3 linked regions of the Oryctolagus cuniculus genome follow. Each later gene encodes a partner of the first gene's protein in a complex. Links are inferred from orthologs where the notes say so. Each region holds a gene or a part of one and is shown in the gene's direction. Other genes may lie near its edges.

Region 1 (3,824 bases):
TTCAAGAAATCACTTGTAATAGAATGTTCTTCATCAAGCTGAAGGAGACATGACCCTTGAAGAAGGTCACAGAAAGATGAGGTGATAAGAGTCAGCAGTCATCGACTGCTTGCAGAAGGTGATGGTGTGAAGAATTAGGGGGTGATTTTAGCCAAACTGTCATGCTGAAAATAAGTGATAGAGATAACCTGCATCTTGGAGCTGCTGTAGAGACTGCTAAGCAGGAAAGCATTGATAAATCCTCATAGGTGGTTTTCAAGCTGACAGAAAATAGAGTTGAAAATTAAGATTTGCTTTTTCTTCTATTCAGAAATTCTTTTCATATAGCGTTAAGAGATGTCAGGCTATTTTCAATGAAAGGTATACTATCACACTGAGTATAACCCAGTGAAGATTTCTTTAGGACTATCTGAACCATTCAGAGCACTTCTTCAGATTTCTACACACTATTCTTATATTCCACCAATTTGAAATATAAGAATACTTTGCCACCTGTAATGTGGTTTATGATATTGTACCAGGGTGAAAGATACAAATAAATGTTTCCACTTGATGTGTACCACCAACATCAATCAAAAAATGAAATAGTGATAGGTTTAGACACACTGTGTAATTTGATAATTAAAAATATAATCTTTTTGGGGGGTGTAAACATTAACTTGGGAAACATTCTACATTTTCTAGATCTACCCTATGAGATCTAGAAATGTAGTTGTATGGCACTGAACACATCTTATCTCAAATAGTAGCCTCTAAATGTCAGTTTCCAACTAAAAGAACTAGGGCTCCTTGGAGAAATACTGGCTCCAGTTGTGGAAGAGAAAAATGAGCAAGATGATTTTATGATATCTGTGCATCCTGGACAGCAGAGGATCTGTCAAATAAAGGGCTGATATCATTACAGGCACAAACACACAGGTGTCCCAATGAGCCAAAAGTGGGATAGCGAAGCATCCAAGCACTATTTAGAACACTTGACTCAAGTCCAGACACATATGTTCATAATTTCTAATAAAATAAATAAGGAAGAAAGGGAGGTGGAAGGAGGATGACAAAGAAGGAAGAGCGGTAAGAGGGAAGAGAGGGAAAGCCAGAACAATGTAACAAAAACATGCTTAGTAGTGACTTTTCGATGGAGCACAGAATGGAAATCTTCAGTAATGGGGCTTTACAACTGTGGAGAGCTATATTTCATAACAAAATAACAAGGGTATGTATATTAGCAGTCAGAAGTTCACAGAAGATGTGTAATTGTGAAAAAATACATGAGTTTCAAAAATTGGTGCATCAAAGTAAACTTTTTAAAATTATATTTTCCACAAACCTTTTGATGCACCCTCTTGTATAGATGTTTCTTTTATCTATTTTTGGCAGAGAGCTCAAGTTTTTTAAGATCAATATCTGTTTTTCATATGTACAATTCCAGGAATATAAGAACACATCCATTCTTCTCTCTCTTCATATCTCTCCTTCCTTCCTTCCTCCCCCCTCCCCCTTTCTTTCTTTCTTTTTCTTGTTCTCAATTTTTGAGATACCATATTTTTATTTACATTATGGTCAAAGGCTTAATGCTCTTCTAAATAAAGAGTTTAACAAGTAAAATAAAGACACTAGTTCAACAGGAATATAGGCCAGAGCTATTAACAATACTCAAATCAAAAGATGGCCATTTCACTCATATACAGCAAGTTTTAAAATAATCACAAATCATTGTTTGAAGAAGCCAAAAACTGGAATCACTTAAATAGATACTATAATGTATTAATAAAATGCAAATAGTCCTTGCTTTTATGGAGTATTATGCAGACACTAAAAAGTAGCAAAACTTTATGAAATTATATATACATTTTCTCATAATATATTGTTTAGTGGAAAAAAGGAATTTTGAGTAATAAAAAGGCTTTATTGCATCTTTTTTACAAAATAAAATACGATGTGATTATAAAAATTAATATATTTGATTAAAGGAGGAAAGACTGGCATCTTAAGACTATACCACTAACAGTGGTCTCCACTGAAATTAGAATTCGAATGCAAGTGTGGGTGGTAGTAGTTTGAGAGGCTACTTCACATATCATTTTATATATGTTTATATCTTTCAAAGCTTTTTAGAGGCACGTACTGATATAAAACATGAGAGGAAAGCCAGTGATCGCGTCCAGGTACTAGTTATACCATTCCTTAAACCTGTCTGTTTCTTCCAAAGGTGTGATGCAACAAACAAGACTTGCCCCCCAAATTACATGTGGAATAATCACATCTGCAGATGCCTGGCTCAGCAAGACTTCATTTTTTCTTCAAATGCTGGAGATGGTAAGCGGAATAATATTTCAAAAACTAAAGGCCAAGAGTCTATATTTTGATTAACACATAATTTAATATTAAAACCACATGTGCAATATTCAGATCATCATTCTTTGAAATAAGTGACTACAAAATGGAGCATTTTTTTTATTCATCTTGGTATTGTTTTGAACTTTTTTGTAAAGGAACATACCCATGTTTGTACATAACCACTTAATGAAAAACATAAAAAGGAAGATTTTTAAAATGCTTTTAATTAACCCATACCAGAACCAACTAAGGTATAGTCAGGATGTTCTGTGTTTGTCTAGACTCTGCAGATGGATTTCACAACATCTGTGGACCCAACAAGGAGCTGGATGAAGAGACTTGTCAGTGTGTCTGCAAAGGGGGCCTTCGGCCTTCCAGCTGTGGACCCCACAAAGAACTCGACAGAAACTCATGCCAGTGTGTCTGTAAAAACAAACTTTTCCCCAGCTCATGTGGGGCCAACAGAGAATTTGATGAAAACACATGCCAGTGTGTATGTAAAAGAACCTGTCCAAGAAACCAACCCCTCAATCCTGGAAAATGTGCCTGTGAATGTACAGAAAATCCACAAAAATGCTTTCTAAAAGGAAAGAAATTCCAACATCAAACATGCAGGTAAGAGTTCTTTAGAAATAGTGTAAGGTCTCATACTGGAAATAAAATGTTCTCAAGTAAAAGCAGGTTTCTTAACCAAAACTAGCATTTATCAGAATGTAGCTAATAAGTTCTGGAAGACAAATTCTAGCATTTTCATTAACCAATGCTAAACTTGCATGAGATACTTTGCTCCCAAAAAAGTGAGACAAGCTGCCTTGGAGACCAAAATCAGGTCCAAATTCAGAGTAAAGTCTACATCCTTGACCCAGAGGCTAAGGAACTGATGATCAATAAGACTCAGAAATCTTGTAAAAAATTTACAAAATACTTGCAAGCACTCACATTCACACCCAACAAAAACCATTACACCTTCACATGGAATTTAGGAAAACTATTCTAAGTACAGGTGATTTTTATGCAAAAACTCAAAAAAGAATACTACCACTTACTGTAGAATTATATCTAGAAATATGTATACTAAGTAATGGAATTGGAGAGCCCAGTTAATATGTTGTTAAAAGTTACTGAAAACTTACTTCGTAAACCTTGGTTTTATTCTCTTCTTCATCAAGAAAAAAAAGTAAGATTAGTGGACTCAAGAACGTTCTGTGTTAGTCTGAGAAATTCTTTAACCTCAAAGAATAAGGTGATCTGTTTAAGGCAGATCTGTGCTGTTGGTATTTTCTCCCACATTTCTTCTATTTGCTTCCCTAACTTATGCATCTTCGTCTCTGTTTTCTTCTATCTATCAGTTTCTAAATGTTTCTGATTTCTTCTGGTTTGTTGGCATCTGTGATGCTGAGTGTACTTTGGCAACCAAGCTCTTGGTCCTGTTCAAAGTTGCTCAGTAACTAGGTATTTGGCATTAGAATTCACCTTTCTTTCATCTCCCG
Region 2 (3,824 bases), on another chromosome or scaffold:
GCAAAGGCTGGAACTGAGACCCGAGGAGCCAGGAGGCTGGCGAGTGCAGTAGGCAGCAGAAAAGCAGATGCTGAGGCCGGCCCTGGGGACGCTGGCGTGTGACCTGCGCAGGGACAGGGTGGGGAATCCCAGAGCCACACCTGCTCACTCACAGGGCCTCTGGCTTTTCCCATGAAATAAGAAAGAATAACAATAACAACGATAACCAAGCCCAACAGCCACTCTCCGAAAGTTGACACCTATGAGAATAACGACTTTTGTTTTCTTCCAGAGAAGCCTTTTGTTGCTTTTGGGAGTGGCATGGAGTCCTTGGTGGAGGCCGCGGTGGGAGCGCGCATCCGAGTCCCCGTGAGGTGGCTGGGCTACCCACCGCCTGAAATCAAATGGTAACTACTGGGATGAAATAAAGAGTGTTGTTTCACAAGAAGGCAGATGCTTCCATGACACTCATTCCCGGGTTTTTTTGCTTTTTTGGAATCATAGGTATAAAAATGGAAGACTCCTGGAGTCCAATCACACGATTAAAGTGGGGCACGTACTGACCATCTCGGAGGCGAGTGAGAAAGACACGGGAAACTACACCGTCATCCTCACCAACCCCATCACCAGGGAGAAGCAGAGCCACGTGGTGTCTCTGGTTGTGAATGGTGAGTCTGCTCTGTTCTCCCAGACTGACTTGAGGGGCGTGGTTTTGTCTTCCTGTGCCACTAAGCCACCAAGGCTTTGTGTCCTGCTCCGTCACCCATATCATGACAGAGCTCGTGTACAAAACTGGCTGGGGCAGCAGACTTGCAATGAGATGTGGGACTGTGTGCTACCCTGCAGCCGTGTTTTGGCTCAAGAGGCCCTGTCCGTGAGCTGTTTGGTGGCCAAATGCAAGATTAAAGCAGATGGTTGGCTCGGTGGCCAAGAACGCCCCCAGGGACAGTGGTCAGCCTGGGCCGCGGGACCCGCGCTCCCGTCTCGTGGAGCTGCGCGCCTGGTGCACAGATGTCCGAGGCTCTTCTTGAAGTTCAAGGCTGCACTTGGCGTTTCAGGGGGGGCATGGGCAGGTCCCAGCTCAGAGGGCGTTGGCTTGGTTGGAACTTTTACTGTTCTGGACGGGAGTACAGCATCTGACTCTGAGCTGGAGGGACGACAGTAAGTTTTTAATTTCAGGACGACTTGTTGTCCCACACTCAAAGGGCTAACGAAATGTTTGGGATGGGGAAGGAAGGGTCCAATGGTCACACTCGTGGGGAAGCTGCCCTGATGGTGTGAAATACTTTTTGTAATTGCAGAACTTCTTGGGGTCTTCAAAATGCTCATGTGTGTGCCGTTCTCATGGCACTGAGCGTGGCGTCCCTCCTTTTTGCAGGGATGGGTTTAAAGATCGCGTGTTCTGAACAGGTGCTCGTGTGCAGTGAGGGCGCGGGGCTTGGAGAAGAGGCAGTGGCCGGAAAGCTGAGGCAGCATACAAGAAATAAAGACGGAGGCACGGGCAGGGAATCGCCCCCATTTCATCCATTCATGAAGTCAGCGCACATCTGATTCACTTAGCATTTGCCCTGCTGCATGGGAGAAGGGGGGTAATGGAAGTACCACCTGAGCCTTCTGGTCGACCAGAAGGACATAGTGCGATGCTGGCACTGCAGGCGGTGGCTTTACCTGCTACACCACAGCGCCGGCCCCTGTCTGCTTCTTAGGATGGGTATCACGGGACCTCAGCTGTCCTGTCCCAGCTGTCCTTTGAAGTCCAAAGTGGGCCCAGAAGCATAGATGGCGTTAAGCGGCAGAGCGCCCCAGGCCTGGAGGGGTGACTGTAGCTCACGGCACCTCAGTGTGCAGTGCCGGCAGCCCTGGAAGAGGGCAGGCTGCACACAGGGAGAAATGAAAAGGAAACGGAAGTGCCAAGTGCCTGGAGGCGATCAGCTTGCAGTGTAGGCACGTCTTACATAGCACACTGTTCCTGTAGTGCAGGCTAATCGCAGCGTAAAAACGTTAAACACAAAACAAAACAATGCAAAGCTCTCCTTTGGTCGGGAACGCCTCTCCTGTGCGACCCCCTGAGCTGACTGACAGTTCACGGATTCACTGTCCCGCCTCCAGTGCCGCCGCAGATTGGGGAGAAGTCTCTGATCTCGCCCGTGGACTCCTACCAGTATGGCAGCTCGCAGACGCTGACCTGCACCGTGTACGCCGTGCCTCCCCCGCACCACATCCGCTGGTATTGGCAGCTGGAGGAGGAGTGCTCGGAGCAGGCCAGGTGAGTGGGCCTGGGGCCGTGCAGCTCCTTGTCACCGCCTTCTAAACCAAGACAGCGACCCCTGTGTGTGTAGGGGGGCGAGGTCTCCTCCCGCTTCCTGGGGTTTTGTGTCAGAGCTGTCTTGGCTTGCTCGGGGGTCCCACTCTGGGACAAGCTGGCTGTCTCTTCTTGGGGCGGCCTGGGGCACACTTCTCCAATAGCAGGTGCTTCGCTCAATTGGATGATTTTCCATCTTGGCTTTCTCTCCGCCCAATCGGGGGCCAGTGCGCTGTTGCCTTCCGGTGGGTGCAGCCTCGGGCCTGGTTTATCAAGTTCTCACACAAGTGCGGACATCCTCAGGGGACAGGACAGGACAACAAGCAGCCCATCAGCCCCTCGCGGCTACTTCCTGTTGTTGTTTTCGCCATGGCCACGAGGAGCTTCTTCCACAGCCGCTGGCCGGGGAATGAGTTTCACAAATCCAGTGGCTTCGCAGTTTCCCTGCCTTCCTTTGAACTGAACCAACGTGAATGTCTGTCGTCACGTTTATGAATGGAGGCTGTTCCCAAAATAGCTGCTTCCCTCCTGTATCCTGAGTGGGTCCGCCTCGAACCGTCCCCCCTCTGTCCAGGCCTATTTTTAATTGGCGCCACATCTCGCAGTGTGGCTGCCCTGACAGCTGTTTCTAGGAACACAGGGCCCCGGGTCGGAGTCCTCTCCTTGCTATTGATCTGGGGACCGAATCCTACCACATACGTGACGACGGACCGTTCTTTTTCTACGTTTCGATCAGTCCTACGGCCCCTCACTTTACAATATTAATTCCTCTGTTTTCAAGAGAAAGGTAGCCTATAGGTGTAAGTATATAATGTCTACCCAGGAAGGGAGTGTGGTGAAACGTTAACAACATTGTTAAATATTACAGCTAAAAAATAATAGACTTCTATGAAAAGGGAAAGCCAAAATCCTAAGTGATCTGTTCGCTCTTTCTTACAGCCAGTCGGCCTTAATGACAAACCCATACACTTGCAAAGAATGGAGAAACGTGGAGGATTTCCAGGGAGGCAATAGAATTGAAGGCAGCAAAAATCAGTTTGCCCTGATTGAAGGCAAAAACAAAGTAAGCTTGAAGTCCTTTAATTCAAATCTCTCTCTCTCTCTCTCTCTCTCTCTCTCTCTCTCTCATGGGAGAATAGTGCAGTGATAGAAGGGGTCTTCCAAAAGTTCATGGAAATGAGTATTACAAAAAAAAACCGCTATGCATGGATTTCAAAAACTTGTGCACCAAAATAAATTGATCTTTTAATTCCATTTTCCGTGAGCTTTTTGAAGTCCCCTTGTACGGGTGGCGTACTGGGAACATGACTGTATGATACGATGCTAGTATGCTAGTGTATGAAGGAGGCTAGGAAACACCACCGACTTCTAGCAGAGCCTCTCACTTCCGAATAGCTCGTTGGAGAAAAGCGAAACGCTCGCCCCATTTCATGCGTCCGTCTGTTAGAAGGTGATCCTGATTTTGCGAGCCCGAGAAGGGGAAGGTGTTGTATTAAAATACTTCGTCAAGTGTGTGGTGTCCAGAGCCCTTTCTGTGTAACGT
Region 3 (3,824 bases), on another chromosome or scaffold:
TGACCGGGGACACAGCGGAAGAGACTGAGGCCCAACAGAGGAGGAGCAGAGCTGTGTTTGTGAACATTTGAGGCACGAGGAGTGGCTGGCTGGGGAGGGCTCTGCTTCCAGAAGAGCGATGAGCAGGCAGGGAGTGCTGCTGGGTGGTCAAAGAAGAAAGTACCAGAAGATTCTGTGGAAGGATGATAGTGTCCAGAATTCAGAAAACAGCATTCTCGCTCTCTCTCTCGCTCTCTCTCTCTCTCTCTCACACACACACACACAGTGCCTGGTTCTCTACCAAAAATGCTCCTCACGACAATGGCAACAGAGGGCACTGTTCTTCCCACAGGTTCCCTTGGGACACAGGTGCAGCAGCTCACTGGGCAGATACATGCCCCTGGAGAGGTCTGTGTGGGAAGAAGGGAGGAGTTTATCTGCCCGGTCCTTTCCTGCTAACCCTTGGTCAGATTCACCCCGTAGGGAGTTAATCTCTCCTCATTTCCAGGTTGCCTCATCTGGCCCTTTCAGCAACCAGGATGCCAGATCCCACTCCCTTCCCTATGGCCTTTTATCTGAATCTACAGGTGGCTGATGGGAGAGCCAGGGAGAGAGCCCTGCGTTCCCTCAGGCACTGGATGACCCTGGCAGCAGTGTGATGCAGGACTTGAAAGGAGCCTTTGAAAGAAGGATGCAGTCAAAGGGATTTGAGTGTCACCAAAGAGGCAGGGTGCTATGTCATTTTTCAGTGGAGGAAAAGCCACCTATCTTCATTCATTTTCTGCTGCTGTAACAAAATACCTGGGCCTTGTGGGGAGCAACTCGGACTAGACTAAGTTACTGGAATTAAGACTTATTCTATGCATCTGCTCTCCCACAATATGGCGCTGGGAGAGGAGGAAACAGCTTCTACACAGCTGCCTCCAGTTCGACCAATAACCTGCAAGAGCTGATCCTGCTCCTGATTGGAGGAGAGCAGCGTACTCGGTGTGTGGGTAGCAGAGTTGGGATTGGTAGAAGAGGACTATAAAGGAGGAGAGAGACAACATGCACAAGGAACATCTAAAGGGAACACCTGAGCAGCCCCCGAGAGAGCCGGCCGGCGGTGTGCCGCTCCCCCGCTGAAGTGGGGAAAGTGGCAGGGGGAGCCGCCCTTCCACGGAGGTGGAAGGATCGGCAGCCAACCCAGGAAGGACCAGCAGCAAACCCGGGAAGGGCCGAGCAGACAAAAGAACAGCGCAGGGTCCTGTGTTGTTCCTCCATGAAGAGGGAGAGCGACAGGCCTGGATAATTTAGAATGAGTAGGAATTTCTTTGACTCACGGTGCTGGAGACTGGGAAGTCCACTTTTCTAACCCACACACTCCCGGGATGACAATGTGAATCTGCTCATGAGAGCACTCGGGATCTAATTACTTCTTCAAGGTCCCAGCTGTCCACACTGTCTGCCCTGGGCACTGGGTTTCCAAACCATGAACTTAGAAGGATGCATTCAAACCACAACACCACCGTGGCTCCTCACGCCTTGCATGGGAGAACCTACCATTTCCGATGTAGGAAATTCCAAAGTGAATAATCATGAATGGAAAAAATAAGCAGTATCCATACAAAGTTCTTGTAAGAATAAAACAGGATATTAGAATCTGAATGTCGCAGTAGCAACTTGCTGAGCAGAGACACTGTAAGGCTACACTACAGGAACTAAATGTGGAATGAAGCAGGAGCTACACACATGCAAACATACAGACAAGATAAAGACATAAAATGACAGCCGACAAAATTCAGGAAAGAAACTGAAGCAAAAGACAAATCCACTCGAAACAAAGAGTAGAGTATGCCAGGGACAGTGCAGCCATCCCCTGCCCTGCAGGGTCCCCTTCCATGCATCTGAAAGTGCAAACATTTGCTGTCACTTTCCAGAGAGAATGCATGCATGGAAACCTTTATTCCAGTCTATCATTATAATAATTTATTATTCGCTGTTCATCTCTTGCCTATGAAAATTAAACTAGAGAATAAAAGTTTACCATAGGCATGTACACATAGGACAAAACCTAGCATATATAGGGTTCAGTACTGTCCGAGGTCTCAGGCAGCTACTGGGGTGATGGATGCATCCCCCTAGAGAAGGGGGATGCTGTATACATGACCAGACTTGCACAGCGGGATGGATGCCAAAGGAGTCAAGACAATGAACCTGAATGAGGTTAAAAAGGGTTAGAGAGAAAGTGGCAGGTTATAGAAGGCATGGAGAGATCCAGTAAAAGTGAAATTGCAGTCCCTGGGGAAGAATATGCAAACAGTGGGATAGACCTAATATTTGAAACCTACAACTCAATTTATTTATTAAATAAATAAATGAAGACCTGACTCTACATGTCGGCAAGAATATCTGGAGAAACTGGCACAGGATGGAAAATTGTGAGAGATATCAGAGCTATTCAACTTTAAAGGTGGACACTTTGGGGCATGTGTTTGGCTTTGCAGCTTAGATTCCAGCTAAGATGATCCATGATCCACATTAGAGTTCCTGGGTTCGATTCCTGGCTCCTACTTTTGACCCCTGGAAGGCAGCACATGGTAGCTCAAGCAGTTGGGTCCCTGCCAAGCACACGGGAGACCTGGATGGAGTTCCCAGCTCCTAGCTTTGGCTGCTGCAGGAATTTGGGGATGGAACCAGTGGATAGGAATGCCTCTCTCTCTCTCTCTCTCTCTCTCTTTCACAGCATACACACAGATATCCATGTGCATGCTGCTTCTTGCTTCTTGAATGAATAAATATAAAAAGAAATGCACTCTGGAAATTCAGACAAAAAGAACAAATCCCAAAGAAAAGAGTCAGGTTGGCCACAGACTTTATCTCAACAGCTCCATGCAAAACAAAGCAATAATTAAACCAATTCTTTCAAAAATCAAAGAAAACGAGAGCCAAGGCTGGAGCTCAGCAGGGCAGAGAGGTGGGTGGCACTGGAACCGGCAGGACCCTGCAGGCCCCAGGGGAGAAGCTCGGGTTTTCTTCCCAGAGCTACAGGAAGCCATTAGAAAGTGTGGCAGGAGACCCTGATGTCACATCTAACCTAAGGAGTCTGGCTGCAGGGGTGAAGACCTGGCAGAGCCTACAGAGACAGCAGCCTGCTCTGCAGTAGGGGCACCAGTAGACAGCTGAGCACAGTGCATTCTGGGTGTACAGTAGACAGGACTTCTGGATGGACTGGGTATGAAGCGGGAGGGAAAGGAAGGACACAGGAATTTTAGGCAGGTGCTTGGCTTGAGTGGCCAACTGAACACTGATGCCATTTACTAAGATGGGCCCGAGAGGTCAAAGGGTTTGTTTGGGGGATGAAGGCAGAGCTTCTCCATGGCTCCTTGTCCAGGCCTGGGACAAATCTGACCGGTGTGGTGTCTGTTTCAGTCAAGGCTGGGCTGTGTGGTTCCCAGAGCCCCTGAGCACACTTCTTGCTCCAGTTGTATCATGATCCTGATCCATCCCCAACCCCGGGTCCAGTTCCCTCTCCTCTTGTCCCGCTAACGCTGCCTTCCTTTGTCTTGACAGCTGTAAAGGACCTGGTCAGGCTGTGGATGTGACCAGGGGGCACCCTGGCCCCCATGGGCGGCGGCGGCGGCCTGACCGGGGAGCGCAAGGAGGCCAGGTGTTTTACAACAGCGAGTATGGAGAGCTGTCACGGCCACGCGACGACAGTGACAGCTCCCCAGGGTCTGCCAGCCCACCCTTCTTCACAGACAGCAGCTACTAAGGCAGCAGCAGGCAAGACCCTCTGCCCTCCTGAGCCTGGGCCCTGACAGTTGGGGGTAGGGAGTGTGGGGCGTGCTGGCAGGGGCGCCCGG

What was found. The genes of interacting proteins can lie anywhere in the genome.
Region 2: the proteins of VEGFC (region 1) and KDR are in contact, whole or in part, in a crystal structure (PDB 2X1W), measured with the Homo sapiens proteins. The link is inferred for Oryctolagus cuniculus from reciprocal best matches to the Homo sapiens genes VEGFC and KDR. Residues at the interface, in NP_005420.1 of Homo sapiens: Thr148, Asn149, Phe151, Lys153, Phe186, Ile188, Val190, Pro191, Leu192, Gln194, Pro196; in NP_002244.1 of Homo sapiens: Val135, Tyr137, Ile215, Val216, Val217, Val218, Asn253, Val254, Gly255, Ile256, Asp257, Phe258, Asn274, Arg275, Asp276, Phe288, Leu289, Ser310, Ser311, Gly312.
Region 3: the proteins of VEGFC (region 1) and FLT4 are in contact, whole or in part, in a crystal structure (PDB 4BSK), measured with the Homo sapiens proteins. The link is inferred for Oryctolagus cuniculus from reciprocal best matches to the Homo sapiens genes VEGFC and FLT4. Residues at the interface, in NP_005420.1 of Homo sapiens: Leu119, Asp123, Trp126, Gln130, Asn167, Arg210; in NP_891555.2 of Homo sapiens: Gln172, His199, Asp200, Ala201, Leu202, Tyr203.

The regions. Positions count from the first base shown.
Region 1 is NC_091433.1:58,680,201-58,684,024, reverse strand, and holds part of VEGFC (vascular endothelial growth factor C), read left to right. Parts: intron 1-2,206; coding exon 2,207-2,313; intron 2,314-2,615; coding exon 2,616-2,949; intron 2,950-3,824. UniProt on the Homo sapiens protein: Growth factor active in angiogenesis, and endothelial cell growth, stimulating their proliferation and migration and also has effects on the permeability of blood vessels.
Region 2 is NC_091439.1:109,288,962-109,292,785, forward strand, and holds part of KDR (vascular endothelial growth factor receptor 2 precursor), read left to right. Parts: intron 1-271; coding exon 272-386; intron 387-483; coding exon 484-647; intron 648-2,088; coding exon 2,089-2,245; intron 2,246-3,220; coding exon 3,221-3,344; intron 3,345-3,824. UniProt on the Homo sapiens protein: Tyrosine-protein kinase that acts as a cell-surface receptor for VEGFA, VEGFC and VEGFD. Plays an essential role in the regulation of angiogenesis, vascular development, vascular permeability, and embryonic hematopoiesis.
Region 3 is NC_091437.1:66,958,254-66,962,077, forward strand, and holds part of FLT4 (vascular endothelial growth factor receptor 3), read left to right. Parts: intron 1-3,531; coding exon 3,532-3,733; 3' UTR 3,734-3,824. UniProt on the Homo sapiens protein: Tyrosine-protein kinase that acts as a cell-surface receptor for VEGFC and VEGFD, and plays an essential role in adult lymphangiogenesis and in the development of the vascular network and the cardiovascular system during embryonic development.